Linked DNA regions of Arabidopsis thaliana. The protein of the gene in region 1 interacts with the protein of each later gene in a pairwise test. Each region holds a gene or a part of one and is shown on either strand. Other genes may lie near its edges.

Region 1 (7,029 bases):
GTGGATCCATCAATGATCCAAAACCCATGGATTGTTGCAAGTCCATAGCAAATAGTACCGTTTTTGTCTTTGTAAGAATCTGTGAAGCTAAGTATGAAGCAAGAGAATCCACATATTGCTACCAGTGTCGATGTCATTATCTTGCTCACTAAATCGCATTGACCGCCATTTGAGAAAATTGGCGATAGAAGCTGAAACGCGAGAACGGTTCCTGTTGGTAAGAGATTAGCTAAATGAGCAGTGGTTTGAAATGTTTGACCTATTGCCTTTTGTATCCATGTCGTTCTTTCTATATCCGGGAAGTCTTTGTCTTCTTCAAGAAGTGGCCTTGTAATGTCTTCTTTAGTACCTTTTTGATGACCTTCGTCAACTTTGATCTCCATATCTTTGAAGTTGTTTCCTTTGTCCCTCTGTTTTTCTCTGATTTTAGGAATTGATTTGATGTAAGAAGGAATGATGATGATTGATGAAATCTAAAGTAGAGGTATATATAATAGAGCGAGGCGAGAGAAAAGAGGCTTTACACATTTCTTATGCCTTGCAAGTAACCTTTGAGACCAAACCAAAGTCTTTGTTTAAGTGAAGCATGTTCTTTGCACACTCTTCTTTATTTAAGAGAGGATTATAAATATTATTATATTTTACGTCTCTATTTTGATACGTTTTAGAATCCTCTTTTCTTTCAAGGTTTCTATAAAGTTTCGTGACATTTCTGAGTCGTTACCAAATCTTTTAATTTTTGTTTTTATTTTTGTTTTGATGGTTTATTTTTATTTGTTCATATACCTAAATCAATGTCGTAAATGTTATCAATATCCTAGTGGGATTATTCTTGAGACCGTGTCATTTGTCAATGACAAAGAGGGTCGTATAACATCAGCTATAAATCGACCCTTTCAATTTAATAACTTGGATCTTGAATTCTCGATCATATTTTCTCACTTTTAAAGTGGATATTAAGAATCTTTTGATTATCTCGTTAATTTTTAAATATGACTAATCCATCCATTGTGGAGGTCAAGTAACGTCTAACAAATAGATAATTAATTTTTGGATAAACATATATGTTTAACGTAAAGTGCTTAGTCAACCAACCACGAATTTTCGTTTCTTTCACCTTTATGCATGGTTCCTTTTTAAGGAATTTTTGTGTAGTTATTAGTTGGCATTATTTTAAGTTAACTAACGTTAGTTAATACGAATCCTCACACGTTACACATTTTGCTATAATATATCCAAAAAATATTTTCAAAGAGTCTTACAATCAAGAGATTTAAAGAGGTGTTTCACTATTTGACGCAATTCTTAATTTTTGAAGTAGTTAAAATTTTGAATCTCCGGTTTCGTATTCACATGATGCTTAGTTTTTCTATTTTGCTGCATTGTTCTCATTTCTTCAGTACTAAAAAGTAAAAATGATCATAATTCATGATTTAGTTTATAAGAAATATAATAATATTCGCATGAATAATTATGATGATTGTCAAGTGTACGAAACAATAAACATCCTTAGACTTGGAAGGAAAGGTGTTCTCATAATTTGGACGGTGGACCTAACTTGCTTCCGTGTGGAATAAGTTATACATATCTTCCTCTTCTTCTCTTTGGTTTTTGGTAAATTATTTCAATTATTTCTAAAGTTTGGTAAGTTAATTTTTTTTTTGTTACGTTTAATTTCCTTTTTATATATATTGATGCGATATGTTTACTAATAGATATTTTAAACATGTACCTGCGCTGGTTCGAACTCAAAAACCCTAAGAAAAAAACTAGCCGATGCTATTTAGTTGTATAGAAAAGCTATTTTCTTGGACGCTAATAATCTTTCGATTAGATACGATAAAATGTTCATATCATAATTCACATTACTAATAAGTTTATCAGATTCTCGCTTTGTTAGCACCAGACTTTTGGTATCGATTCAAGTCGGCTACTCATGTCCTAAAGAGAAATCATAACTAAATCTTACACCAAAAGCTAAGATTATGGTTGTTTGATAGTTCCCTTTTTGGGATCATATATGTTTGATCAGTTCGGTATTAGTAAACTATCTTATTAACCGGACCAAGTCTTGTTCAATTCAATACAATTCTTCGGTTTGTATTATAAAACAAACCGGTCTCATAACCTTAAAATGAAGCCCCCAAAAATAGTCCAATACAACAAAACCAAAGCCAAAGCCTTCTTCCAAAAAGACAGTTTACAAAAACAAAAACAATAATCTCAACCTGAGCAACAACCAGAAGATTTAACAGCAGTAACATCATCCTTATTTCCGATATCAATGGTTTGTCCTTTAGGTAAAGACATCGGATCTCCAGTACCATCAAGAGCTTTACGGCTCATTACACGATAGATTTGAGTCAAGACATGAGTGAAAGCTTGTTCGACATTTGTAGCATCCAAAGCAGAAGTCTCCATGAAAAACATGTTTTCTCTTTCAGAGAATGATCTAGCTTCTTCTGTGGGAACTGCACGAAGGTGACGAAGATCGGCTTTGTTTCCAACAAGCATGATTACAACGTTGGCATCGGTATGGTCACGAAGCTCCTTGAGCCATCTTTCAACGTTTTCGAACGTTATGTGTCGAGTTATGTCGTATACTAGAAGTGCCCCCACTGCTCCTCTGTAGTATGCACTCGTGATTGCTCTGTATCTGTATAACAAATAAGTCGCTATTACTCAAAAACAGAGCATATAGAGAAGAAAGAGAGCATAGGAGTGGGAGATCGGTTTACGGTTGGTTAGTTTCGGCTATTGATTATATCGGTTAATAGAAATTAAAACCAAATAAAATAATTTGTAATCTGGTTTATTTTCCAATTTGTTCTTGATTTGAATTAAGTTATATTTGGTTCCTTTTAGCAAAAAAAACTTTTTACCAAGAAAGTTATATTTGGTTAATCTATAGAAATTGATTATTAAAATAAAATCATTATCTAGTCAAATATTATATCAGTGCAATATACTTATTCCAATTTTCCATACATATACATAATTAAAAGTATATTATATTTATAAAAAAAATCGAAATTGATAATTGAAATAAATCATGATCTAGTTAATATTATATTAATGTAACATAACTATTTCAATTTAATTTCCATAGAGATACATAATCAAAAGTAGAGGATTTCTAAAAAAATGCGGTTTATTTGGTTACACTAAATCAGTTTATATTGGTTTCAAAATAGTAAAACAAACAAATTTGTAAAATTATCCAGTTTGATTTTTGTTCAACCATTTCGGTTTGGTTTGGTTCAAAGAATGAAACAAAACAGAACATATAGAGATAAAACAGTGAAATTTCGAGGATTTATTACCTTTCTTGACCAGCGGTGTCCCAAAGCTGAGCTTTGATGATTTTTTCGTCGACATGAACACTTCTTGTGGCGAACTCGACACCGATGGTTGACTTTGACTCGATGCTGAATTCGTTTCTGGTGAAGCGAGACAAAAGATTGGATTTTCCGACGCCGGAATCTCCAATCAAGACTAGTTTGAAGAGATAATCGTAGTCGTCGTCGGCTCTGTAGGCTCCCATTATTAAGGTATTTGATAGAAGTTACAAAATCGTAAAGAAGAATTCAGAGAGATGTTGCAATATGATCTAATGAAATGAATGATGTGTTGTTGTGTTTTGTAATGAAATGAAATTATGGGTAGTGGGTAACGACGAAAGGGCTTATTGGTTTTGGTAGTGTTATAAAAATAAGAATAATATTAGGATTCAATCATTTGTTATTATTATATGCATGACTTAGCATATGTATATGTTTTGAAAGTCGTTGGAAAGATTAGAGAACAAACATGTTTGACGAAATCTTCGGGTTTATGGCCGCCATGAACTTGGTAAACGCAGAACAATATACACTTGCAGGAAAAAACAATATTATTATGTCTTCAATTCAATAATTCAATTTATAGCTTTTCTCAAATAAAATCACAGGGAAATTTGTTCATAAATAAAATTATAGCAATGTGTAGGAAGATATCTAGGTAAAAGATTTTTTATGGTATATTGTCATGAAATTTTCCATTTCTATTTTTAACTTCTAAGGATTTTTTTTATATGACACTAAATATAGTGTAGAGTTGAGATTATTGTTGGACACATGTACTAGACTTTTAGTAATAGATCAAGTCTAAAGGAAACTAGTAAGTTTGTTTTTGAGATAGATCTTATATTATTTATTTTAGACCTAAAAGGCTAAAACATTTGTGTTCATGTAAATGTTAGCAATAAATAGAAGAATTACTTAAAGCTCTTAATTGACAAACAACATTTTAACATTATTATTTCTCAGTTTTGTTTCTGTGGACAATTTATTTGACTACTATATGCATATATATTTGCTAGATTTTGATACCTACATAACACTTGGTTATAAAGAAAAACAAAAACCACTCAAATTGAATTTCAACTTGAGAACTCTTTATTATTTGACACCAATGTGTATATGACCTATTTTATTACAATAATTTGTATTGGTTCGAGAATCATTGACCACAGCTTATAGCTCAAGACTTAGATAAAACACAGACACTCAAAGAGGAAACATAACACAACAATGGTACAAGATTTTTCTTAACATTTTAAACGACGACTTGCAAGTCACCGACCTATAAATTGTCTCTGTTTTCCACCAATTTCGAAAAGAATACCATAATAAAAGAGGACAATCTATCACCACTTTGATCATCATCAATGTCCCAAGTGCAGAGCTTCATCCACGGCCAGTGCCAATGCAGCAGCAGCACCAACATATGTGTGTGGAGTTAGCTCCAGAAGTTGGTCTTTTGCTTCTGAAGGCAATTCCAAACCTTTGATAAACGTTCTTATGGTTTCTTCATTCACAGCTTTTCCTCTTGTTAGCTCCTTCAGCTTCTCATACGGCTCAGGGACACCGTATCTCCTCATCACCTTTATTTGATACCATAATACTTCTGTGGATTAGAGATACATCAAATATCTTGATTGATATAGAAGATTAGAAACTCGAGAAATTTACAGTTTGTATTGGTTCAGCAAGGACTTCCCAATTATCATCCAAATCTTCTTTTAACCGAGCTTCATTAACCTATATCAAGAACATTCTTAGTTTGTGACAAGTGGAAACATTTCTTAGGGCTACGGTAATAATACCTGAAGCTTCCCGATTCCCTGTATCGCACTCTTGTAAGCGAGAAGAGAGTGTCCTAAAGCTCCACCCATGTTTCTCAAGACAGTTGAATCAGTTAAATCACGCTGCAGATTGTACATTTTTCAGGCTTAGTTTACTTCCATCACTCTAGCTGAGATACATAGAATATGGAGAAATGTTAAAACCTGCATGCGTGAAATGGGAAGCTTCATGCTGAGAAAAGTAAGCTCTGCGTTTGCTTTCCCTAGATTCCCTTCGCTGTTCTCAAAGTCAATAGGATTCACTTTGTGAGGCATTGTCGACGATCCAATTTCACCCGCTTTAGTTGTCTGCAAAATCTCAAACAATGAGACGATTTTCCCATTCAGATTCAAATGATTTGACATCTTTTTTTTTCCTTTCTTATATTAACACTTGCCTGCTTAAAGTACCCTAGAGATATGTAGCTCCATATATCTCTGTCAAAATCAATTAAAATAGTGTTGAACTGGCTGATATTATTAAAAAGTCTAGCCATATAGTCATGAGGTTCAATCTGCAAAAAAAATACACACAGAACAATCAATCAGCGATGATCTTTATGAATTTGAATAGGATTGTTTGATCAATATAAACTATATTACCTGAGTCACGTATGGGTTGAATGTTAATCCAAGAGAAGTAACAAACTCCTCGGAAACATGAGGCCAGTCAATATTCGAATATGCGGAAATATGGGCGTTGTAGTTCCCAACAGCACCTGCAAATTTCCCCTTAATCTTAGTTTCTGAAAGATATCTCCTTTCTTCGCTTAACCTCACAGCAAAATTCGCCATTTCTTTCCCCAAAGTTGTTGGCGTAGCTGGCTGCATTACAATTCATAGTAAACAAAATCATTAGTAAAGAGATAGATACAGATAAATAGGGAAAGGTAAAATGGTGAAGGTCTTCTCTTTGGACATTACCTGCCCATGAGTTCGTGAAAGCATGGGGACATAAGCAAAGTTCTTAGCTATCAGAGAGATTGACTTGATCAGCTCATCCATGGTAGGAAGTATAACCGAACTAAGTGCTTCTTGAAGCATCAAAGCATGGGAAAGATTGTTGATGTCCTCAGACGTGCAAGCGAAATGGAAAAACTCAAGAACCTAACTCAGTAAAAAGACATCCAAAATTTTAGTTACAGGGCATCAAAGCATCCAAACCCTAAGAACTTATAAGTGAGAGAAAAGAACCTAAACCTTAGCAATCTCTGGTTGTGATTCACACTTTTGTTTCAAGAAATACTCCACTGCTTTCACATCATGATTTGTTACTCTCTCAATCTTCTTAATTTCCAATGCATCGTCTATGCTAAATCCATCGATTATGCCTTGCAAGAAACTCTGAGCTTCTTTGCTAAAGCTTGGAACTTCAGTGACTTCAGGAATATTCGAAAGCTTAAGAAGCCATTTGATCTAACAAATATATAAAAATATCAAAGTTTAGGCAAATGAGTACACTAGACCAGACAACTAAACTACTCGTACAAAGAGATATAGCATGACATAACTAGTACAATCTTCTCAATCAATCAACCAATCAGATCATAACCCTTCACTTACCTCGACAAAAACTCGGAAATAGATCAATCCAAACTCGCTCAAAGAAGAAGCCAAGTCCTTAACTTTACTCCAATAACGTCCATCCAAAGGCGATAACGCCGTTAAATTCGACATCTCCAAGTCTCTAGAGCTCACTCCATCCATTGCCGTCACCTAAAGCATATCAATTTATCGCCAATTCTTATCGAAAACATCCAAACAACACATCATTTCAGCAAAACCCACAAATAAAAAACTTACCTTTGTTGAAGTCACTAGCTTGGGAGAATCAGTAGTAGTAGAAACAGAGCATGAAACTCTCG
Region 2 (8,605 bases), on another chromosome or scaffold:
GTATCATTGTTGACAAAAGAAAATGTGTTAAGTGTTAAGAATCAAGAGCTTTTATTTAGACCAATATTTTTGTTTCTTGTAAATGATTTAATACACAGGAAAATTGGACATATTTGTAATGATTTCCCCCTTTTCAGTTATTTTCTATTTGTAGATTTTGTTAAATTATATATGTAAAAATAAAATTAGCAATGTTCAAGAAAGCGCTATGCGCTAAACGGACGGTAATCCTCCATCTAGTGCCTAGAAATGCTTAGTCGGAGTCTAGGCGATTTAAGGCAGTTTTAGAATATTTGTATAATTATATGAGATGCTGAAAAAACATTATGAAAATTTATAACATTTTTACATTTTTTAGAATGAATTGAAATTTAACATTTGAAAGTAGAATATAAAAATTATAGGTGTCTTTAGACCCAATTTTAAATATATATATTTTTAACATTAGGACACATTTAAATCCGCCTAACCCGCACAAACCCACCTAATAATGTCTAATTTGTTTAGTGACCGCATAGTCCGCCAAATCTACCTCACCGCCTAATAACGCCTAGATGCTCATCTAGCCCATGTTCTAGAACACCGAAAATTAACTTTAAGTAAATTAAAAGTTTAAATATACATACACAATAAATTAAGGTGTCTTTACATGGTTGGTGTTCAATTTAATAGGTAAGTACATCCATATATCAAACCAAAACATAAACCACAAACCCTATATTCTTACAGTTAAAAATTAAGCTCTAAATCTTAACTTACAATCCATTACCTTGAAGGAGAAGATGACAATATCTCAACCGGAATCCAGGATTCAACTGTGATACTTATCACCTTTGAGGAGAAGAGGAGAATATCTCCCAAAGCTAAAACCATGGTGAACTTACCACACCTTACCGCATCTCGTTCCATCATTCAACTCAAATCTAGTTTTTATTCGAGCACACGACTAGATGGTTATTCTCGGTTAGGTCAATCTTATTGGTCGGTATAATCTGAAAATATTGGCAAAACTGATCTAGTAGCTTAATATCGAAGCTTAAAATGTAAGGTATTTCCAACGATTATTACAACTTAGAAACAATCGCAAAATTATGATTTAATTTTATTTTATCTCATTTTTTTTATGCTATCTAAATAGAACCGAACTAATATCGATCCAACAAAAAAAATCGAATTAAACCCGAAAGAGACAAAATATCTGAAGAAATCCCAAACTCCTATATCTGAAGAACCAGAATCGAACCGAACACCTACTTGGTCATGTAATGTACAAAATATAAATTATATACTCAACATATTAATAAATTTCTTAGTTATCCAAAATTACAACTATAATCCAAAATTATTAATTATTTTTAGACCAACATAACCAAAATATTCAGAAATTCTTAGTACATTTGTCAAAAATTAATCGAACTAATACTATTTAAAACCGAACCGAATACCCAAATGCGTGGACCAAATATAGGCAACTCAGCTTTAACTCCAGACACAAAATCTGGTGTCAAACACGAGATATAATTGCACATTGAATACAGCTATATCAAAGCATGAATTTTAAAAAATATATTAAGAAAAACAGATACTTTGATTTATTTTTCATCTATATATATTTTTTTTTGTCAACTTTTTCTATCAATATACTTTTCAGATGAATTATTGGTTTTCCAACAACATCGTTCTGAAAAATCAAAATGTTTTCCAACTCAAATAATAGATTAGATGTTCCAATGATTATATTAAATTTCCTATTTTTTGGTAATTCATATATGCAGAAAACTTCGGAAAACCATTGCACAGCAATAAGCATTTAAAAAAAGTGAAACCCATTCTATCAATGTTATGTTGAAAAACTTCATCTAATTGAGGTGTATTTTGCATGTTCATACAAAAACTCCAAAAATAAAATTGAAAATAATCGAGAATATTTAACATTGTTATGTAACTTCAATTTGTGAGAATTTATCAACGAAAATAGAGTATATATAATATGACCAAACTCATAACAGGCAAACACCACTTTACATAGTTTCCACTTTCATTTCCTCAAACCAACCGAAAGTTTTTAGAAACATAGTAGATATAGACAAAGAAGTCCATGGTAAACGTTAATTATTTAAATAACTATTAAATAATAAATTAATAAAATATTTACTTTATCAATTTGTTTGTAATTATGGTTGAAAACTTGCCCATCAAAATTTTAAATATATTTTCTTTTTCAAAATAATATCTAATTGCCTATGATAAATGATTCTAAAATAGTAAAGTATACCACCAAATCGTTCATTTATACTCTTTAGAAATGATATAACGACAGTGTATTTTCCAACCGAATGGTCGGTGTTTCCAGTGTATTTGAAAGAATTTAAGAGCGAGAAAGAAAAATTTATTAGCATCTCTTTATTTTTAATTCCTCGGAATTGGTTCGTTTGAGTTTAATTAATTCCGGTTGACAAAAAAAAAACAAATGATATAAGGAATTTGAAAAGTTAAATCCTCCGTCAACTTTCTCTTGACATCAAAAGTACATATAACATAATAATCAATAATAATGAAAAAACAACTATATCTCTAATTATAATTACTTTAATTTACTCAAATACTCATTAAATTAAGGACATGAATCATTGTTTTTAAATTTTAAAATTAAAATATCTATATTTTAAAGGTAAAAATCTTAAAATTTGGTTTGATGTTTAGCTTTTATGGAATTTTTAAGAATTGAGATTAATCCTAGCAATTCTAGCAATGTTATGTTGAAAAACTTCATCTAATCGAGGTGTATTTTGCATGTTCATACAAAAACTCCACAAATAAAATGGAAAATAATCGAGAATATTTAACATTGTTTTGTAACTTCAATTTGTGAGAACCTATCAACCAAAAAAGAGTATATAATGTGACCAAACTCATAACATGCAAACACCACTATACATAGTTTCCACTTTCATTTCCTCAAAACCAACCGAAAGTTTTTAGAAATATACTAGATATAGACGAAAGAAGTCCATGGTAAACGTTAATTATTTAAATAACAAATTAATAAAATATATACTTTATCAATTTGTTTATAATTATGGTTGAACACATGCCCATGTTAAATATATTTTGTTTTTTTTGAGTAATGCCTATGATAAATGATTCTAAAATATTAATATAAGTATACCACCAAATCGTTCATTTACAAATGATATAACGAATTTCAAAAGTTAAATCTTCCTTCAACTTTCTCTTGACATCAAAAGTACATATAACATAATAATCAATAATAATAAAAACTACTATATCTCTAATTATATATTTTCTTAAATTACTTTGATTTACTCAAATACTCTTAAATTATAAGGACATGAATCATTGTTTCTAAAATTTAAAATTAAAATATCTATATTTTAAAGGTAAAAATCTTAAAATTTAGTTTGATTGTTTAGCTTATATGTAATTTATAAGATTTGACATTTTGCACTTGTTGTCACTAATGTATAACAATGAAACCATTTTCTCATAAAAAGATAAACTATTTTTGTAGTCCTCACAAAAAAAAAAAAAAAAGCACATGCGGTTTCCTCTGCTTCTTCCTTCTTACAAGTTGGATGTCTCCGTCTTCCACGGTGCTTATAAATTAGTGAAACAACAAAAGCTTTGGTCAGTATTTATATTATCATGCATTTCTAATCTCTACTTTGTCAATTCCTATACTTTCACTCTCTTCCAATTATATAATCTCTGGTCCATAGAAAACATCGGTCTCTTGTCACCGTTGATTTTATTTGGTCAAAATCATTCTTCTTCTCGCTGAATAATCGTTGATTTCACTTCTTCTTCTGGTCTTAAAAAAATTCAAGATCTATACGAGAAAACACAAAACAAGTAAAACTTTTTCAACCGTTTTTCCTGTCGGTAAAGTTTGGATTCTTCTTAGTAAATTTTGGTCTTATTGTCGACCAAAAGAAGAAGATGGTCGTTCAGAATGTTCAAGATTTGGATGTTCTTCCGAAACATAGCTCGGATTCATTCGATGATGATGGTCGTCCCAAGCGAACCGGTAATTTCTCTTTTTTTCTCTAATTTTATGTTTTATGTTTCTCTAATCTGTTCAAACAAGAATCAAAGTAAATATAAAATTAGTCTCTGTTTCCTATAACCGGGGATTTGAACCCGAAACCCGGAATTTTTTTAATTCCGGGTTTCGGGATACAAACCGAAACCCGGAGTCTGTTGAACTTGCAATTTAAAACATCTACAGTAAATATATGCATAGGCTTTGTTTGTTAAGGGGTGACAAATTCCTACTTCTTTTTTTGTGTGGATGTTATGGAAAAGTATGATTTTTGTTACTAAAGTGTATGAACACTATTGTTACTACAGTTGTTGTCTTAAAATTAACGGTTAAACAAAACAGACTTTATTGTTACTACAGTTCTTGTCTTAAAATTCTGTTTGAATGTGATTGGTGTTTAGGGACGGTGTGGACAGCAAGTGCACACATAATAACAGCAGTAATTGGGTCAGGAGTGTTGTCATTGGCATGGGCCGTTGCTCAGATTGGTTGGATTGGTGGTCCAGTGGCTATGTTACTCTTTTCTTTCGTTACTTTTTACACATCTACCCTTCTCTGTTCTTGTTACCGATCTGGTGACTCTGTTACCGGCAAAAGAAACTACACTTACATGGACGCTATTCACTCCAACCTCGGTAAACAAAAAAAAAATCATTTCGGTTTCTTTTTGGTGCATATATTGGGATATTGAACCGAAGATCGACGGTTGAGATGACAAGGCCAAGATATAACAAAAAGATATTATTCTAGAAGATAAATGTTAATATTGAAGTTTAGAAAGTTTAACATTTATCTTTTAGAATAATATTTTCTTGCCGTATCTTGGCCTTGTCATTTCAACCGTTGATCTCTGTCGATCTCTGGTTCTCCATATCGGTTCCATATCCCAATAGTTATTATCATCAAAAACTTAATTCATTCTTGATTCATTTTTAGGTGGGATTAAGGTGAAAGTATGTGGAGTTGTGCAATATGTTAATCTATTTGGTACAGCAATTGGATATACAATTGCATCAGCTATAAGTTTGGTGTAAGTTAAAACTTTGCTTTCACAAAACTCTTTTTATTTTAATTGTTCACATTTGTCCAAAAAAAGTTAGATGCGTGTTTTATTTTGCTATTCAATATTGTCCATACAAGTCATTAATGTTTGGCTCAATAATGCAGTGTTTTAGTCAATGTAGTCTTGTTTTGTGCCATTAAAGATTCGAAAGAACGGCTCTATTATTGTTTGACTTGTTAACTAATTTTCTTGAATAAAAAATTTACAGAGCAATCCAAAGGACAAGTTGCCAACAGATGAATGGACCAAATGATCCTTGTCATGTTAATGGAAATGTTTACATGATTGCGTTTGGTATTGTACAAATCATATTCTCTCAGATTCCTGATTTTGATCAGTTATGGTGGCTTTCCATTGTCGCTGCGGTCATGTCTTTTGCTTATTCTGCCATTGGACTTGGCCTTGGTGTCTCTAAAGTGGTAGAGAACAAAGAAATTAAAGGTAGTCTCACTGGAGTCACTGTTGGGACAGTGACACTGAGTGGGACAGTGACATCGTCGCAGAAAATATGGAGAACATTTCAGTCTCTTGGCAACATTGCGTTTGCGTACTCTTACTCGATGATTCTCATCGAAATTCAGGTATTTTTGTTACGCGAGTTTTTTTTTTTTTGAAAATAATGTTAAGTTAGATTCAAAAGAAAAATAACGTTGTTACAACTAGTGCATCGTTTGGTTTATTTGTTAAGCGAGTTTGTGTGATAAGAGTTTGTTTAAAGGATGTTTTAATCAACTAGACGATTTGATGATCCAGGACACGGTGAAATCACCGCCTGCCGAAGTAAACACGATGAGAAAAGCGACTTTTGTAAGTGTGGCAGTGACTACAGTCTTCTACATGCTATGTGGCTGTGTAGGGTATGCAGCATTTGGGGATAACGCACCCGGAAATCTCCTCGCTCATGGAGGGTTTAGAAACCCATATTGGTTGCTTGACATTGCTAATCTCGCTATAGTGATCCATCTAGTCGGTGCTTACCAAGTCTATTGCCAACCCCTCTTTGCCTTCGTCGAGAAGGAAGCCTCTAGGAGGTTTCCAGAGAGCGAATTCGTCACAAAAGAGATCAAGATCCAACTCTTCCCGGGGAAGCCCTTTAACTTGAATCTCTTCAGGCTCGTATGGAGGACGTTCTTCGTGATGACAACAACGTTGATCTCAATGTTAATGCCTTTCTTTAACGATGTAGTCGGTCTCTTGGGGGCCATTGGTTTTTGGCCTTTAACGGTTTATTTCCCAGTGGAAATGTACATTGCACAGAAGAATGTTCCGAGATGGGGCACAAAGTGGGTTTGTCTACAAGTCTTGAGTGTGACATGTCTTTTTGTGTCCGTAGCCGCGGCCGCGGGATCTGTTATTGGCATTGTTAGTGATCTCAAGGTCTACAAACCTTTCCAGTCTGAATTCTGAGATCATACGGGAAAAATAAACTCCTGCTAAAAGGGTTAAGATTAGAATTGAATGTTTTAATGTCATATTTGTATTAGTTAACTTTGTGTAAGTGTTCAATTATAAATCATGTTTCTACCGAGAATTCTTACAACATTGAACTATCAATGATTAAAAGTAGTCATGTATAAGGATAGCTTTTTCGACACTTGAGGTAGTAGAGATGTATTAAACATTTAATACTTATAATTAATTTTAGAAGTCTATAAACCAAAGGAGCTACAAGATGTTTTGTGTTTATCTCCAAAATTCTTCAAATTCTTAAATCGTTTATCTTCTTGTAAACACTCTCCAAAACTAAAGATCCCCTAGATAAAATTGAGCTAACAATGCCTAATGAAGCCATACAAATAAGATAATCAATGTTTACCTTGACAAAACAATAATTAAAATTTAACAAAAGCAAATCGAGAATAATGATATGACACTGAAAATATTCTGATCTTTCTTTTACAAAGCAATCGATGAATTCTCAGTTAGTTACACAATAAATAACATTAGTTACATTCAAAAGCTATACAATCAAATGAGTGAAAGTACTTAAGAATAATATCACATGCTTGGTGTCTTTTTGATACCTCAACTCTTTTGTTTTATATATACTCAAGAACTTTAATAATATAAAAAATAACTCAACCAATGATGATATAGTTTTAATTTCCTAAACTACAAGTGCAAAGCAATCAAAGTAGTATTAGGGTCGATCGGTAAAGAATTTAGAGTAACGCACACCAATGTCACATTTTGTTTTTACAAGACAAACATGTCTTTTTAGTTTGAAATACCTAAGCTAACTAGATCATACACATTGTCTTCAACAGAATGAACTATGTGATATAACTCCATTTCAAAAATTCTTTGGTTTTATGGTATTGATGACGCTCTCATGGGTCCATAAATAATAAGAATCTCAAACATATTTTTGTAGATTAGTTGAGACCTTATGAAGCTACTAAAATATTTTTGAGATTTATAAAAATAAAAATATTAATGTAAAATGTATTATTTTCCAAAAATTCTAGAAACCACTTAAAACCAGATATTCTGGGACAACATGATTTGATTTTGATCTACCCAAATTCATGTTATTAGAAGACAGTTTTAATATCTTTTTTTGTATGAATGTAAAATTATAAACAACAAAAAAACTGTTTTACAAAAGATGTCACATTAAGAATAGAAAGTTTGGAAAAAACAGAACTACTTAGACAGTCTCGGGAATGCGGGTTTGGAACCAAAACCGCAGGCCACCTTCAAGCTTGGCAACAGTTTTAATATCATTTTGGAGTTTCTTAAAATTTTGATATTTAAAACGGTTTCCACCCATTCTACCAATCGGTGCGATAATTCGAAAATCTCAATCTACAAATTTTCAGATTTCTAAATTTTCAAAATTTTCAGATTTCTAACTAACTAATCATTGCCTTAAGTTATTCGTCCTAAAACCATTTTTGTTATCATGAAAATATCTGCCAAAACCGCTCTATGACTTATACAATTCGTACATGACCCCTTCCCAATCAGGCAATCACCAATCACAACGTTTTTTAGGCTGATCAAATGTTGATTATAAGATTTATAAGATAATAGCTTACAAATTCCATTCTAATTTGTATAGTAAATGGAAAGATATCATTTTCACTTTAAATTGAATTTATCAGATAATATCTTCCTACAAATTGCATTACATCTGTTATATTATTCCTTTTATATGTGGTAAATATTTTTAACTATATATATATATATATATATATATATGTCTACATTAGGCGATTTTCATTCTTATCTTGATAAATAAAGGTTCCAGATGATAAATAAAAAAAATATTACATAGAGGTGTATTAAAAGACTGTATTAGAAATTAAATCTGTATATGTGAACATGGAAATAATAATTGTTTAAAATTGGAAACATGACACGAAGCATAAACTGATAAACATAAAAGAAAATTTGATTTGTGTTCTGAAGTGTGAATGCTATTATATAGAAATTTCAGACATAACATATATATGTCGAGTTGTGTTTTCGTTTGA
Region 3 (7,360 bases), on another chromosome or scaffold:
ACATTGTGGTTTGGTTTGTGGCTTCTGTCTTTGTTTACCTATGCATGTGTTTGTCATATTTTATAGTTTGTCGAACGGCCGCTATAATAAATAAAACTTGTATTTCCTTTTGTGTTATAAAACGCCTCTTAATTACTTACGTTGGATCGTTTAAACTCAGACATGCTAAACCACAAAGGCCATTATCCTATATATAAAAGATGTGGTGTCTCTCGAGCGATGACACACATCACCATAATTAAATCATGCATTAACTCTTTCTTCTATGAAAATAACATGTTTCCATTTATTAATTAATTTATTTAGATTTAATTTAGTTACAAAAGTATATCAAACACATAAATTTAGATCAAAAACCCAAGGACACTGATCTAACTTGTTTTTTAGGTTTTAAAATTTTGGACGTAAGTTTCAAATAAAACATTGGATTGGGATTTAGGTTTATAATCCACTCGCAATGACATATGAGCATTTTTTAAAAAGGGGTGGTTCAGTCTCGATCGGTCCAAATAGACAGGTTTTGATATTTCGGAGGGCTGAAACAATTTTTTTTTAAACAGGATTTATTTGATTAATTATAAAAATTATAAATATTATTTTGTTATAGCTAAAAAAACAAAGTTGGGATTTTAAAAAAAATATCATCTTCTTAACACTTTTATATATGTATATTATAAGATAAAGGTTAAAATATAAGATATTTGTTGGTGCAGTAGAAAGAAAAAAAAAATGTGCAAATAAAATTAATTTTTGTTTTTTTAGAGAAATGATTATTGGTAAGTAAATAAATTAATACTCTTATTTTGGGCCTTTCGGGACTTATTTTTTTACTATTCGAGGGTCCTAAGTCATTTGGCTGCCGACCTGCTAAATATGGGAAAGGATCCTCCCTTCTTATTTCTCATCATACTAATCTCATAAGATATAAAATTTACTCACTCAATGATTTGTGTCCATATATACTAAGTTGTTTGCAATTTAGACTTATTCAAAGTATTCACGAAATACGAACTCATAATGTCGAAAAGTAAAAATCAAAATATTGATAATGCTAGACAACATAAATCAACACATGGCTACCAACAAAAAAAAAAAAGACCTATATGGATATTATTAAAAAATAACAAATATATTGTGTCACGACAAATAATTTCAATACATACATACAATTTAACAAAGTTGCATTAAAAAAAAAACCCAGTGGTTTGGCGCGAGTTTCGCCCTAGTATACCTAATTTGTATAGCATCTAAGTAAATTTTCCTTATTAATATGAAAATTTTGACAAAAAAAAAAACAGAGGGCTATAATTTTGGGCATATTAATTACTAATTTTGGTCATTATTAATATTTTTGGAAAAAATTTTATCCAACATAGGATAGTTTATATAGCCAAAGTATTTTGTTTATTTTCAAAATCTTTTTTTTTTTTTTTTCAAAATCTCATTAATATAAAACTCAAATAAAGTTATATAAACTGACAATATTAATTGTTAACAGTAAAAAAGAAAAGAAAAATGGAAGAACCGCACATAACAAGTTAGAAACACTAAAAAATATATGTACAGATCATTCATTTTGTCACAAAACTGAACAACATGTGGTTCATATAATTTTTTTATATTTAAATATAAGAAACAAGCTTTTGTTAATAAAATGACGAATGGAGAAGAAGAATATACGGTTCCTCCACATTAGCAATAGAACCATACTGTCTCCACTCTTCCATTGAAGGTAAAAAAATGTAATGGGCTCTCTCTCTAAAGAACGGTTTTTCTGGCAGAGTTCCGTCTAAGTTTCCAGTTGAATCCGGCTTTGGTATCTGGCTTATGACACGACTAATTCAGTATCTTATTTTTGTTATTTATATGAATAATGTCCACGGTTTTAATTATGGGGATGCCACTTTATACGGTGATTCGTTTAGGTGAAGGTTTTACTTCTGCTTGTACTATTGGGTCCGCGGTTGATAAATACTATCAGATATGATTGCATACTTGCATGTAACTGATAAAAATAATATTTGTTACTTTACGTATTTTGAATTACCAATTAGCCTGTATTTCAAGTAACCAGAACTACTAGTTACTAAGCAAGCAGTTGTGCACTTATTAGATCATAATAATAATAAGTACTCAATAACTAAAATCACCTTAAAACGGAAATTAAAAAAATGATCGACTTTGATGTTATCATATCCGCCACTTTTGTTTCGTTCTCTCGGGCTGAATCGTTTGTTTCGTTCTCTCTATCGTTACTAGCTCTCTGTTTCTTGTTTTGTCTCTATTCATTAACTTTGCTTCCCTTATTAGTAATTATAATTTATAAATTCTAAATGATGTCTCTGTAAAAGAGAAACAAAGTAGATAAATATTAAGGGAGAAATGTAAATGTAACTGCATAATCGGTTTGCTACAAACTTATTTTTCCCTCCTAAAATGTTTCTTTTCTTTCTTTGCAAAAGATTCATTCGCTATATGCCTGTATTGGTTAAACATTAGTAGAAGTATTTTTGCAATTGGCGTGCAGAACATGGGAAGTTAGTAGCTACTTTATATATGGCCACATGACTTCCTCGCACGTCACGTAATCGGTGAAATGCTGTCCATGTGACAGTCAGACTCTTCGTAAAACAAATGTTCCGAAAGTAGTAACTACGGATAATTTATTTATTTTTGCAAACGTTACTGTAGTTACAAAATAAATAATGTTCCTTTGTAACTTTGGCGTGGGATTTCCAAAAAGTCTCTTGTCACATGAAACGGTTTTGAAAAATTTATAATCTCACTTTGAATTTGGTATATGTATTCAGACGAATGATAAGATACCAAATTATTTTAGTCGTTTTAATTTATAGATTTATTACTAACTTTTTTTTTTGTAAATTTAAACTTTCAGATTAGGCAACACCAAATAAATGATATATTTAATAGAAAATGTATGGTCGAAAAAAAATATTGTAATGTCTCTACACCAGAAGCTTTTGTTTTGACTTTTGAGTGTTTGAATCATTTGAAGTTTTGAACAGAATAATTCCACAATCAAAACCAAATAATATTTTATCAGGCGAGCGAAAGACAAGATTTTGACAGGTATTTGTACAAGTACTGAGTCGGTCAACAAACCCCGTCTGGACTCTGGACCCGAAGTAACCCAACAAACGTTGCGACAACTACATTAGCACCACCACCAAGGCACCAATAATGCAACGTAAGAGGGACGCAGCAAAACTGTCGCGATGTGAGATTCACGCGCTCTAATTTAAACGTTGACTCTTTGTTTCATCGTTACTCTCTCCCATTTATTTACTTCGCATACTCTCTTCGTTACAAGTTTCCATTTAATTACTCTTAAGTCTCTAACTAATAGCTTTAGGGATTCGTCATTAATTTAAGGCAACGTAAACTTAAAGAGTTTCGACTAAAAGCCGTTTCAGGAAACATACATCATCACATACTTTATCTAAATAACTGGCTTATTAATTTTATAACAAAAATGACGTTATTTAGTGTTAAGATATACAAATATTTAATTTTTACTAAATTAGTTAAGGTAAAATTGTGTTCCTTTCTGTGAGTTTTCCGCAATATTAAAAAACCCTAGAGAAATTAACAAAACGTAATTGACTAAAAAAAGAGTTCAAAACAAAACATTTGTTACATTTATTTCATAATTTAAAGACTAAGTATAAATCCACTAGAAAACAGATGATTAAAAATGCGGGTCCCACAATACGCCAATCGTCAAATAATCGCGCACCTTTTCGCCACGTAGCATAACAAAGTCACGTAAGCCCTTCCTCTACATTACAAGACCAAACTCAAAGTCTCTTTCTCCCCCAAACCCAAAAACATTGACCCAAAGAGAGAGAGACTTCTATCGTGCGCACCTCTCTCTCTTAATCCTTTATCCTGCGCACCACCACCACCATCTTCTTCTCCGGCGAAAACAAACCCACCGCCATGGGGAAAGGTCGTGCACTTTCCGACGGAGTGATCAAAAAGATCATCCTTTCATACACCTATGTCGCAATCTGGATCTTCCTCAGCTTCACAGTCATCGTCTACAACAAATACATCCTCGACAAGAAGATGTATAATTGGCCATTCCCAATAACTCTCACCATGATCCACATGGGTTTTTGCTCTTCCTTAGCTGTGATTCTCATCAAAGTCTTCAAAGTCGTCGAGCCTGTTTCAATGTCACGCGAGACTTATCTCAGATCCGTCGTACCAATCGGCGCGTTGTACTCACTTTCTCTCTGGTTATCAAACTCTGCTTACATCTACCTCTCTGTTTCCTTCATTCAAATGCTCAAAGCCCTAATGCCTGTAGCAGTTTACTCAATCGGGGTTTTGTTGAAGAAAGAGACTTTCAAATCTCAGACTATGACTAACATGCTTTCGATCTCGTTTGGTGTTGCTATTGCTGCTTATGGTGAAGCTAAGTTTGATGGTTGGGGTGTTTTTCTTCAGCTTGGTGCTGTTGCTTTTGAAGCCACTAGGTTGGTTTTGATTCAGATCTTGCTTACTTCTAAAGGAATCAATCTAAATCCAATCACTTCTCTCTATTACGTTGCTCCTTGTTGTTTGGTTTTCCTCTCTGTTCCTTGGATCTTTGTGGAGTTTCCAGTTCTTAGAGATACTTCGAGTTTCCATTTCGATTTCGTGATCTTTGGAACCAATTCTGTTTGTGCGTTTGCTTTGAATCTTGCTGTGTTCTTGCTCGTTGGGAAAACCTCTGCTTTGACTATGAATGTGGCTGGTGTGGTTAAGGATTGGCTCTTGATTGCATTCTCGTGGTCGGTGATTAAGGACACGGTCACACCTATCAATCTGTTTGGTTATGGACTTGCCTTTTTGGGTGTTGGATATTACAATCACTGCAAGTTACAGGCGTTGAAGGCTAAAGATGCACAGAAGAAGGTTCAGGCAAGTGATGACGAAGCTGGGAAGCTTTTGGAAGAGAGGGAAAGTGAAGCTAAACGCAACGAAACCCAAGATTGATCTGTTCTGATTCAAGAATGCAATTTCAGGAAATAAGAGCTTCAAGGTTAGAATGATTTGGGAAGATGGATTTTGCATTTTCATAGGTATGATTATCATTGTCGGTGTTCGTTCGTCTACGTTTTAGTTTTGCGATTATATTTTTAAGTTATGGCTGATTATATTACATAGTGATGGATGGGTGTTTAATTAGAGGTTCATGAATCTTTTGAACTCCATTGTATCTTCTTCTTTTGAGTTGTATTTTGTTTCTTACTTCCTCATGAATCTATCTTTGTGGGTAACAATTGTTTTAGTAGTACTTCTTTATATTTTTTCCCTCCATTGAGATTGTTAAATGTCAAATTGAAAGTCCCTTTTACGTCTCTCTTTATCCAATGAAACCGTTGTATGTTGGAAGGCACAAGAAGATGGTCAACACCAAAAACTTTTTGATATTTTATGGGTTATGTAGGATCATTTAGTAGCAAGATCCACAATTTAAGGAAATAAACAAAATACCCATACCGACGTTCCCTTGCAATAATATGACACATGACACCATCATATGAATACAATGGTCTCATTTAACCTCTACAAATATCCTTCCTTTAGTCTCAACAAGTTTCTGTCCTGAGTAAAGGGACAGGCCAAATAGGTGTTAGATACCAAACTAAAAACATTCAAACAGGCTCACGGGTTATGGATTTCTCATCAGCGAATATTTGGGAACTTTTAACACAATTCGGATCTACTCTCGCTTGGCATAAAAGCTGTTTTGTTCCAGAACAGAATTCATAAGCATGCATTGGTGCTTGGTTTGTCACTTTGTGAAATGTGACTTTGAATAGCCATCCTACCTCTTGGCAGAATTGTTTTTGGATTTGGGTTATATCCTATCAAATTCCAAAACTTAACAAACCAGTTTTGTTTGATTTCAACTGGAATCTTATAACTAGCTCATAGTTCCTACATATCTTTTTTTTGTTTGAATCTACTACATATCAGGCAGTAGTATTCTAGACTCGGACGAAACTTTATTAGTCCAAATTAGGCTGCACCAAACGAAATGCAGATACATCATACATGTCACGGACCGGACCACATCGGGTTTGGCAGATTTGGCATCCTAGTTTTGACATCTCTACCAAACCCACTAAAGAAATCTACACGGACACTAATAAGCCAAATCAGCAATACGACAAACGGTCCATATTCCACCACGTGGCTCTCTTATAGTTCGTCACGTCGACACCTATTAATACCGTTCTAAATTCTTCTCCGGAACAGTAGCTAAACCGTGATCGTAAAGCTAGTCTCCAGAGAAGAAACCACAATCGGAGTCTGAAGCAACAAATTATGCCTAATGTTTCTCAGATCTCTACTGTTCTACGTCTAGCGTTTTCTTGTAAAAGAAGACTCTCCAATGGCTTACACTTCGTTGCTCGTTCCTATTCCACCTCTGATCCTCCCAAACAACCATCAGGTACTTTCAGAATCTTCAATTCGTTGAGAATTATGCAATTGAGATTAATGTCGCTCCTTTATCAGGTCCACTGACGAATTACTCTAAGTTAGTGGAGCAAGGGAGGTTACAACATGATCCATACCAAGAGAAAGTTGTTTCGGCATTCGAAAATTTGTTTGGAAGATTGGAACATTTCGAGAAGCAAATGGAGGATTATCATGTAAATTGCAAATAGTGTAACAATTTGGTTCAATTGTTTGCATATAGATGTGTAACATTTCGGTGTTTAGGTGAGATTAGCAGAGTGGGAGAAGAAGAGAGAGGAGGAACGAAGAAAGCTAATGGTGGAAGAAGCTGAGAAGAAGGAAGATGATGGAATGTGGGCATCTGTGAATAAGCAGGGACAAAAGCTTTTGGGAAGATGGGTATTAGGGTGAGGTTTTTGTCAATGGCTTCTTTTTTTAGTTGAATATTTGTTTGTTAGTTTTTTCAAATGGTTTTGTTTTCTTTCGTGTGTTTTAGGCGGAGACAGATGAATGTAGAACCTGGAGTTGGTAAATGGGTATCGTACCTTAACCGAGAGAGAAAATTGGACTCGATTGTCGGTTCTCGTCCCGCGGTACCACCAGCTCCAAAAGGATTATATATCTATGGAAATGTAGGATGTGGTATGTTAATGGATGCTACATTATGATCTTACCGTGTAGCTAATATGGTTAGGTATTTAAGACAATGTTTGGTGTGTTTTCATGTAGGCAAGACTATGTTGATGGATATGTTTTATGGTGCTACTGATGGGATCATTAGACATAGACAACGGTTTCACTTTCATGAGGTGAGTGAGCCTTTAGCGGTTCTTCTTTCAAATTAATTCAAACTCAATATATTTTCCATTTCTTTCTTTGTAGG
Region 4 (8,645 bases), on another chromosome or scaffold:
ATTAACCACATATTAGTTAAAAGATAATTATATGATTGGTCGCCGAATATGGAAAAAAAATCTACAAAACAAATTTGAGAAAACAGTAAACGAAAAGAACGAACTAAACAATCTGTCTTATAATTAAACAAATGAGATATATAGAAAATCATGAAACGAGAAATATAACATTCGACATTTTGTTTGATTTTCTACTATATAACTTTTCCAAATATAAGTAGAAATGTCGATTTCTAAACAAACCCGATCTGAATAATCATATTCTCCAAATTTAGTTATGGCAGTTCAAACCCATAATGGTGAAGGTTCTCACTCCAGTATTTTTTTTATTATAGCATACCAAGATAACCAGAAGAATGAGCCAAGAAACTAAACAAAACTAAAACCAAAACTAGTTCCAATCAACTCAAACACGAAAGTAGATAAATAACAAACCACATGTGATTTCAAATTTAGTTTAGTCTAATAAAAAACAAAAAGACTAAACCGGACGACCATACATTGGGTCCCTATCGTAAATTAGCAAACAAATTAGTGTTGCCCATTTTAAAAGTTTGAACTCTTCTTTATTTAAAAAAAGAAGAAGAAGAATTGAACTGGTCAGGAAGAAAAAAATAGAAAAGGAGAAAAAGGACAGAGGGAAAATGGAGAAAAGTAGAGTAAAATGGCGTCACACCAGAGAGAAGGCACAACTCACGGGGAAATCAGCAGAACCAATACCACCGCCACCGGTTACTATTACTATTCTTGTTATCATCATCTCCCAAAAAAAAAATGTTAGTATTATTTTCGAGTCTATTTTTCAAGTTTTTGTTTTGTTTTTAATATCTCGACTTTGCCACCCAACTCCTCCCACTCCTTCACAACTGTGTCCTGTCCTCTGCTGATTTCTCACCTTTCCATCATTCATTTCATTCTTTCTTTTTTCCCATCCGTTTCTTTTATTCTTCTTTCTCCTTAAATTTAAAATCTTTGAATTAAATTATTGGATTTTATTGTTTCAAAGCGTTTCTATCATCAAAACCCATCTTCTTCTTCTTAAGATTCTGAATCATTCATTGATTGATTTAGCTTCTCTTCGACTTCTTAATTTTACAGTTTTTTTTGTTTTTTAAACTTTAATTGATGCAAATAAGCAAACTTGGATCGCTGTGAGCCTGTGATAATGATTTCTTTTAGGTTTGTAGGATCTGAAGGAAGCTACGGTTTATTTTTTTTTATGGGCAATCTCTAACAGGTACAAATCTTCTCTTAGCTTCTCTCTTACAAGATCTTTAGGTTATGTCTTGTTCTTTGGAGTTGCTATCTTTCTTCCATGTTCCAGAGGTTTGCCTTATTTTATCACTTTTGACATAATAATTTATTTTGCCTGTTTTTTGTTACTTGGTTTAATATTCAGATGAATCTTTGACCATGATCTCTAAATTTGGTTCCTAGGCAAGATCAAAGAAAGTTCATCACATAGGAGTTGATCATGAACCATAGTTTCCTCAAAGATCTCAACTTTGTCTCTAGTTGGATTGTAATCTGTATTGCTTAGGACAGTTAAATCTTATTACATCTTGGCTCGTCATGTCAAAAGCTGAAGATATTTGAGCTTTCATATCTTACAACTAATTAGTTTCGTATGTCTACAGGTTTCTTACTGTAATTTTTCTGTTTCAGTTCTTTACGGGTATATATATACACATAAAACGGTTAAGCTCTAGAGAAGATGTTGGGAGGCAACAATGATAACCCTGTGCCGCAGGTTCTAATGAACGACAGCCAGTTTCGGTATCAATCAAACACATCGTTGAATCAGCTTCACTTGCTTGGGACGAGTAAGTTTCTGAATTTTGTTATTCATTTGGTTTGAATGTTGTTAGAACTTTATAGAGCTAAAAGCTTGTTCCTTTGTATGTGGTTGCAGTGAGAGCTGGTTGTACTATTGATCCTGTAAACTACTTTGCTAATGATAACCTTGCTCCTATGATGCGGCTTAATAGCACACGCGGAAGGGAAACTGAAAACAACAATATTATGCAGAGACAGCAGAAGCTGCAGATCTCTTTGAATTATAACTACAACAACAATAATACTGTTGTTCAAGATGAAGTCCCAAAGCAGAACTTAGTGTCAACTGGTCTGAGACTATCTTATGATGATGATGAGCGCAACTCTTCTGTAACTTCAGCAAATGGAAGCATAACAACTCCAGTCTATCAGTCACTCGGTGACAATATCAGATTGGACCTCAATAGACAGAACGACGAGCTTGATCAGTTTATCAAATTCCGGGTATTAATTTTATCTACAAAGCGTATGTTTTTGCTTACATATCCCATGTCGTTGAAATTGTTCTCTCTTGGAACAGGCAGATCAAATGGCGAAAGGTGTGAGAGATATTAAACAGAGACATGTCACGTCCTTTGTCACGGCCTTAGAGAAGGATGTGAGTAAGAAGCTTCAAGAGAAAGACCATGAGATTGAAAGCATGAACAAGAAGAACCGGGAACTCGTGGATAAGATAAAACAAGTGGCAGTGGAAGCTCAGAACTGGCATTACAAAGCAAAATACAATGAATCTGTGGTTAATGCCTTAAAGGTAAATTTGCAACAAGTGATGTCACATGGAAACGACAACAATGCAGTAGGAGGAGGAGTTGCTGATCATCATCAAATGAAAGAAGGGTTTGGGGATAGTGAGATTGATGACGAAGCAGCTTCTTACAATTACTTGAACATCCCGGGGATGCCAAGTACTGGGATGAGATGTAAGTTGTGTAACGTAAAGAATGTTTCGGTCTTGCTCGTGCCATGTAGGCACTTGAGTTTGTGTAAAGATTGTGATGTGTTTACTGGTGTTTGTCCTGTTTGCCAGTCTTTGAAAACTTCTAGCGTTCAGGTCTTCTTCTTCTGAGTTGTCTTCATACTCTTGAAAAGTAAATGGTGGATGAACATATTTGTATGTGATGGTGGTGATGAATGAAAACTTGGTCGAGTCTTTCTTTGCTTTTGCCATTAAACCTATATAGCATGATTCTGCTATTTCGTAGTTATTAAGCAGCCGTTCTTTGAACACGAGATAATAATTGAGTTCCGTGTCGTGTGCGATATGTCAAGCTGTGGATTACATTGTTAGAAGAAATTATTAAACTTGTTTTGGCTGATTTTTTTCTTCTTAATATTTTTGCTGCAAAACTTGTTTCCCAAGTAAGGTTATTTATGTACTAAAACAATATTTTTTTAATGTAAAGGATTTTGATCAATATTTCCGTTAGAAAAATACTAATAAAGTTGATATTAATATACATCATATTACGTTTGCAAAAATAAAAAAGACGCAGTTAATTTCCCCATCTGAATATTAATTTTTGGCATTAATATTAATTTGGTTTAATTATAAATTATGTCAACATTGTTTAATTTGTAAATCATGCAAATCTAGTTTACTTGTAGTAGTTTGTACCAACCAAACCCTCAAAGGCTCGAAAGTAATGGGCCTTAAAGGCCCACCTTTCTACTTGTATTTAAAATTGGTCAAAGACACGTGAACCTCACGTGATTTTATCTTCCAACGAGGGAGCTTCTGTTATCCACTTCATCATTCACGTCTCTTCCGCAAAACCCAACATTCAAATTCTTGTCTGAATAACGAAATCCCAACATTTGCATTGCATAGATTCCTTCACAAATCCTCTGATTCTGATTCTGGTCACTCAATTTTGCCTGTTTATTGGCATAATTCGGGCACTTTTCTCTCAGTTTTTGTATAAGGTTCAATGAGTTTGTTCTGTACTTCTGTGTGCGTTATCTTCTCCAAATTAAGATTCCAGATTCGTGGGTTCATGAAAATCTCGTTGTAGACGAGCCAAGTTGAAATATTTTTCCTCAAGTGAATTTTGTTATGATCACGTCGTGGTTTTGATCTGACTCCACTTCCGTCGCTAACTCTCTTCGAAAGATTCGTGTTAAAAAAGGTAAAGTTCCAAACTTCATACTTTTTTTACTTCATCTTACTCATTTTCCATTGTCTCTGATTCATGCCAGAACAAAGATTTTAGTTATAGGGTTCCAGAATCTCGGACTTTAACTCGGAAGTAGTGTTCTTCCTCTGTTAACTGAAATTCTTTCTTTTGTTTTATGCAGAAACCTGAAAATGGTGAATTTTGTTTCTCTCTGTGACATAAAGTATGGGTTTGTGCCCAAAAATTCAACTGATTTGTTTGTGAAACGGAAAATTCACAAGGTAGGCTTAGCACTTCATCCAAAGCTTTGTTCTTTGACAATAATCTACTTTGTACTGTCACTAAAATTACTTAGCTTAGCTTCCCAGCAGAGGAGATGTAATCACTAGATTACCGGTGTTTGGTTCGAATGCACGAGAGAATCTGAATGCTAAACCAAGAAGAAACCTTAGAGTTAGGCCAATCTTTTGTAAGAGTTATGGAGATGCAGCAAAGGTTTACCAAGAAGAGGAGATTCCCAGAGCAAAATTGATATGGAGAGCAATCAAACTACCAATGTACTCTGTCGCTTTAGTTCCTCTTACCGTATGTTTCCTCAAGAAACCTTTCTATGTCCTCCATTGCCTTTATCTGCTAGGGAATATTCACTGTTCAAATGTCACACAGGTTGGCGCTTCAGCGGCCTATTTAGAGACGGGTTTGTTCTTAGCTAGACGTTATGTTACTCTATTGCTCTCATCAATTCTTATCATTACTTGGCTCAACCTAAGGTGATTAATTGATTGATTCCTTTTAACATTTTCGTTGACTGTATTTACTCTTTCATGTATTTACTCTTTCCAAACATGGTTTTATGTTTGCAGCAATGATGTTTATGATTTTGATACCGGAGCTGATAAGAACAAAATGGAATCAGTAGTAAATCTGGTTGGAAGGTAAAGTATTATCAAAGGATAGAGTTTGCAACTTTGAAGTTTATGTTTTTGAGTTCCATCCTAATAAACTGTGTTTTACTTGGAAAAGCCGGACAGGAACCTTAGCCGCTGCAATCACATCGCTAGCGCTTGGTGTTTCTGGTCTAGTTTGGACATCGTTAAATGCAAGTAATATCCGTGCAATACTATTGCTAGCCTCAGCAATACTCTGTGGCTACGTATACCAGGTGAACGTTACTTCCTAGATGACAATTTGATACTAATCTAGGAGATTTCTAACTTAGAGTAATACTTTGTGACTAGTGTCCGCCATTTCGGTTAAGTTACCAAGGATTAGGAGAGCCTCTATGCTTTGCAGCATTTGGTCCATTTGCTACTACTGCTTTTTATCTACTTCTTGGTAGCTCAAGGTAATATCAAAATTTTGTTTTAAGCCTAATCCATTCGTGTTTCCATGAGGTGTTAATAATGGAAGCTTGTTAATCGGTTTTGGCAGCGAGATGAGGCATCTTCCGCTAAGCGGTAGGGTCCTTTCATCATCTGTCCTTGTTGGTTTTACTACATCTCTTATCCTTTTCTGCAGCCACTTTCATCAGGTTGGTTAATGAAAAAGTGGTCTAATGAGTCCTGAAATGACAAACACAGTACTGACTACATTTACATTCTATAGGTGGATGGAGATTTAGCTGTGGGGAAATATTCACCTCTGGTACAAATGTGAAAAAAACTCAACAAGGTTTAATATGAATATGGTGATTGTGTTTATGATTAGAGTTTTTTTTTGGTTGACACAGGTTCGGTTAGGGACTGAAAAAGGAGCTTTTGTTGTGAGATGGACTATTCGTTTACTATATTCAATGCTTCTTGTTCTTGGTTTAACCAGGATTTTGCCACTACCTTGCACCGTAAGTTAACAGATTTGAGAACATGACTGAAATATAAGAACATATATTAAAACCTCCTTTTTGTTGTTGGTGTTTCAGTTGATGTGCTTCCTGACATTACCAGTTGGGAATTTGGTTTCAAGCTACGTTGAAAAGCACCACAAGGTAAGATATTTAGAATTGAAATTTGTAATACTCAAAGTTTTGCTAATCTATTCTTTTAATGCAGGATAATGGGAAGATATTCATGGCCAAGTATTACTGTGTGAGACTCCACGCCTTGCTTGGAGCCGCATTGTCGTTGGGGCTAGTTATCGCGCGCTAGAAATCAGTCACCAAACATTTGTTTCTCTCTTTAGCCTTCGTTGTATCTACCTAAACGTTTAGCCACTACAGTATGCTGTAGCTAAAAGGAAACATTCGAACTTACAACAGTTGTGAAAGGTCTCAAATTAATCACAAGCATGGTGAGCGATTGTATCCTCAATTGTTAAAGTGACGGGTGCCACCATGGATATGTTGAAACATGGGCCATGTCGGATTTAGTGCAAGCCCGTTGACGGCGTTTGTGTTAGGTAATTCAGATTTCCAACACACAAGATGGCCCAACAAAGAGGTTATGCTTGTGTTTGTAGGACATAATTGTTTCTCGATATGGACCTTTCTCCAATTCTTGAATCCATCCCAAACCACTGAAGTTGGATCCCATGTGCATTTAAGAAAATCATTAGAAGGTGAGATCCAGATTTATATTAGAGAACACATAAAACCCCAAAATATTATCATTTGAGAAGCCTATTCAGCCTATGTTATTAGGTTTTATAGCAAAATCATTAGCGGGTTTAGATGGGCTGCTCAAATGATAATATATTAGGCTTTATGTGTGCTCTAATAACTTTGATGGTAATGAGTTGACGGTATTGACCAAGTTGAAGATTGTGGACATTGTTGATTGCAATTTGATTCCTCGTGATCTGTTGTTGCTTTATGAATTACCTTCATGGCCGAGAAGCCTAGTTCATTCTAATCTTTTCACATCCTCTAAAGAATCCACAAGCTAGTAATTTTTCTTAAGCTTTTTACATTTTATTAATTTTCTCAACAAATTATTATATATTACTTGGATCTCAATATTACTTATATAGTACTAATATAAAACATTAAAAATCTTAACGAAATGTATATATTGTTGTTTTATATATATATATATGTGTCATCTTCTAATTATTCTAACTAAACATTAAAAAACTAAAGAATATACAAAGAATATCAAAATCGTTCAAAAAACCAAAAGTATCAAAATTGTCAATTTGTACAAGTCTAACACAAAATCGCAAAAGACATATTGGTCAATACAAAATTTGGTAACAAAAATTAACCTCTTAAAGGAGGATCAATCTACAAGAAATCAAAAAGTGTCATTAGAGGAGAATAAATGAATAGAGACAATTGTTCAATAGTTTGCTTTTGAAGGTTGGTAATTCAAAACTAATATAAACTTCTTGTATAGAAGACTAAGTAATTATGTTTTACATGTATATGAGGAAAAGTGAATTATGGTAAGATTCGAAGCATATCAACAATGATGTTATTAACTTTGACTCATTGGAGACTGATATGAAGTTATTGATAACATTTAGTTCATGTGACACGATTTATAACCAATTACAATAGGTAAAGTAAAGTTCTATAGTTTTCTATACAAGCAAGGTAGATTATTTTTGAATAGTTTTAACTTATCAGCCTTCTAAGCAAATTATTCATACAAAAGGTGTTCCTCTATATAGTCTATATATACTTGTTTCAATTTTTAAACTATATTTGTACAGGATTGTTCTACTGCGCCGACTCACCAATTTTTTGCTACATCTAGCAACCAGCAAACCCAATCTATCATTGCTGACACATTTCAAAGCTTACCACCATTCGTTTTTCCTACCTACCGTCACAGTAGGTAAAACATACTTCCATAGTTTTCAATATAAAAATTTAGACTAGCAATAAATTACCAGCCTTCAAAAATAAACTATTTTTGTAAATTTTCAAATTGTTTCTGTTCATATATTTTCCTCTAATGCGATTTTTTGTTTTTGGTTCAGAGTGATATAAACCATATCTATTTGGTAGCTCACTAATCTCTTTTCGGCGTCTTCGGCAAAGGACTTTCAAGATCCTATAAAAATAACATTGTATTGAAAAATGTATCCTCAAAATTTTTTGTGTAGCACCACTAACCTTGTTGGTTTAAGGATATAGTGGAATATTGCTAGTATGACTGAAATAAATATGAGAATATATCTTTGATATCAGATATAAGAAGTAATATTAATATAGTTGAAATCATATATACAATCAAATATAAAATCAATAAAATAGCTAGTATAATTTATGGGTGCCTATACTATAATGGGATGGCATGTTTTATGATTTTTTATCTCCGTCAAATTGGATGTATATGATTAACCTAATCAATTACATGTATCAAAGAAATGTACATGCACATATATTAATACATCCTTCATATATATATTGTATGACACAGTTATTTTTAAATATTAGTCTTAATCATGCTCCAATGTTGAACTTATTAGATCTTTTACCAGGAATTGGACATCAATGATTTGGCTGGATCAGGACATTTATCAAACCAAAATAAACTGATTATACAGAAAGTGAAGATGGAACAAATTAAGGGCATGGACGCATGGTCATTCTCCAACCAACGAATAGACAATGGACTTCACTTCACGTCTCACGGGAAAGTTAGAATAAAAACGAAACACAACAAATAAATAAATAATCACGAGAATGTCTTAGTTAAAAGACGGCATATAGAAATATAAGAACGCAGTGTACTTAATTTTGTAAAACCATAC

The links.
Region 2: the proteins of RABA1e (region 1) and AAP5 interact in a two-hybrid assay, tested with the Arabidopsis thaliana proteins (one large-scale study listed by BioGRID).
Region 3: the proteins of RABA1e (region 1) and AT2G25520 interact in a two-hybrid assay, tested with the Arabidopsis thaliana proteins (one large-scale study listed by BioGRID).
Region 4: the proteins of RABA1e (region 1) and ABC4 interact in a two-hybrid assay, tested with the Arabidopsis thaliana proteins (one large-scale study listed by BioGRID).

What each region holds. Positions count from the first base shown.
Region 1 is NC_003075.7:10,181,680-10,188,708, forward strand, and holds RABA1e (RAB GTPase homolog A1E), read right to left. Parts: upstream 3,705-7,029; 5' UTR 3,545-3,704; coding exon 3,324-3,544; intron 2,657-3,323; coding exon 2,224-2,656; 3' UTR 1,992-2,223; downstream 1-1,991. Other genes in the region: AT4G18425 (transmembrane protein, putative (DUF679)), read right to left, coding at 1-383; AT4G18440 (L-Aspartase-like family protein), read right to left, coding at 4,706-4,924, 5,013-5,081, 5,147-5,248, 5,330-5,473, 5,563-5,679, 5,768-5,989, 6,089-6,271, 6,365-6,580 and 2 more. UniProt on the Arabidopsis thaliana protein: Intracellular vesicle trafficking and protein transport.
Region 2 is NC_003070.9:16,762,579-16,771,183, reverse strand, and holds AAP5 (amino acid permease 5), read left to right. Parts: upstream 1-3,498; 5' UTR 3,499-3,960; coding exon 3,961-4,048; intron 4,049-4,464; coding exon 4,465-4,698; intron 4,699-4,745; exon of another isoform or gene 4,746-4,925; intron 4,926-4,999; coding exon 5,000-5,093; intron 5,094-5,334; coding exon 5,335-5,707; intron 5,708-5,879; coding exon 5,880-6,533; 3' UTR 6,534-6,792; downstream 6,793-8,605. UniProt on the Arabidopsis thaliana protein: Amino acid-proton symporter. Stereospecific transporter with a broad specificity for glutamate and both neutral and basic amino acids. Reduced affinities for asparagine and valine.
Region 3 is NC_003071.7:10,856,990-10,864,349, forward strand, and holds AT2G25520 (Drug/metabolite transporter superfamily protein), read left to right. Parts: upstream 1-3,678; 5' UTR 3,679-3,960; coding exon 3,961-5,004; 3' UTR 5,005-5,421; downstream 5,422-7,360. Other genes in the region: AT2G25510 (uncharacterized protein), read left to right, coding at 1-94; AT2G25530 (AFG1-like ATPase family protein), read left to right, coding at 6,070-6,207, 6,277-6,469, 6,535-6,671, 6,742-6,884, 6,974-7,119, 7,207-7,286, 7,360-7,360.
Region 4 is NC_003070.9:22,322,256-22,330,900, reverse strand, and holds ABC4 (UbiA prenyltransferase family protein), read left to right. Parts: upstream 1-3,541; 5' UTR 3,542-3,962; intron 3,963-4,131; 5' UTR 4,132-4,141; coding exon 4,142-4,231; intron 4,232-4,310; coding exon 4,311-4,535; intron 4,536-4,616; coding exon 4,617-4,720; intron 4,721-4,813; coding exon 4,814-4,885; intron 4,886-4,973; coding exon 4,974-5,112; intron 5,113-5,188; coding exon 5,189-5,295; intron 5,296-5,381; coding exon 5,382-5,481; intron 5,482-5,555; coding exon 5,556-5,594; intron 5,595-5,679; coding exon 5,680-5,790; intron 5,791-5,868; coding exon 5,869-5,934; intron 5,935-5,998; coding exon 5,999-6,094; 3' UTR 6,095-6,464; downstream 6,465-8,645. Other genes in the region: AT1G60610 (SBP (S-ribonuclease binding protein) family protein), read left to right, coding at 1,715-1,823, 1,913-2,280, 2,357-2,902. UniProt on the Arabidopsis thaliana protein: Involved in the synthesis of phylloquinone (vitamin K1). Catalyzes the transfer of a prenyl chain to 2-carboxy-1,4-naphthoquinone.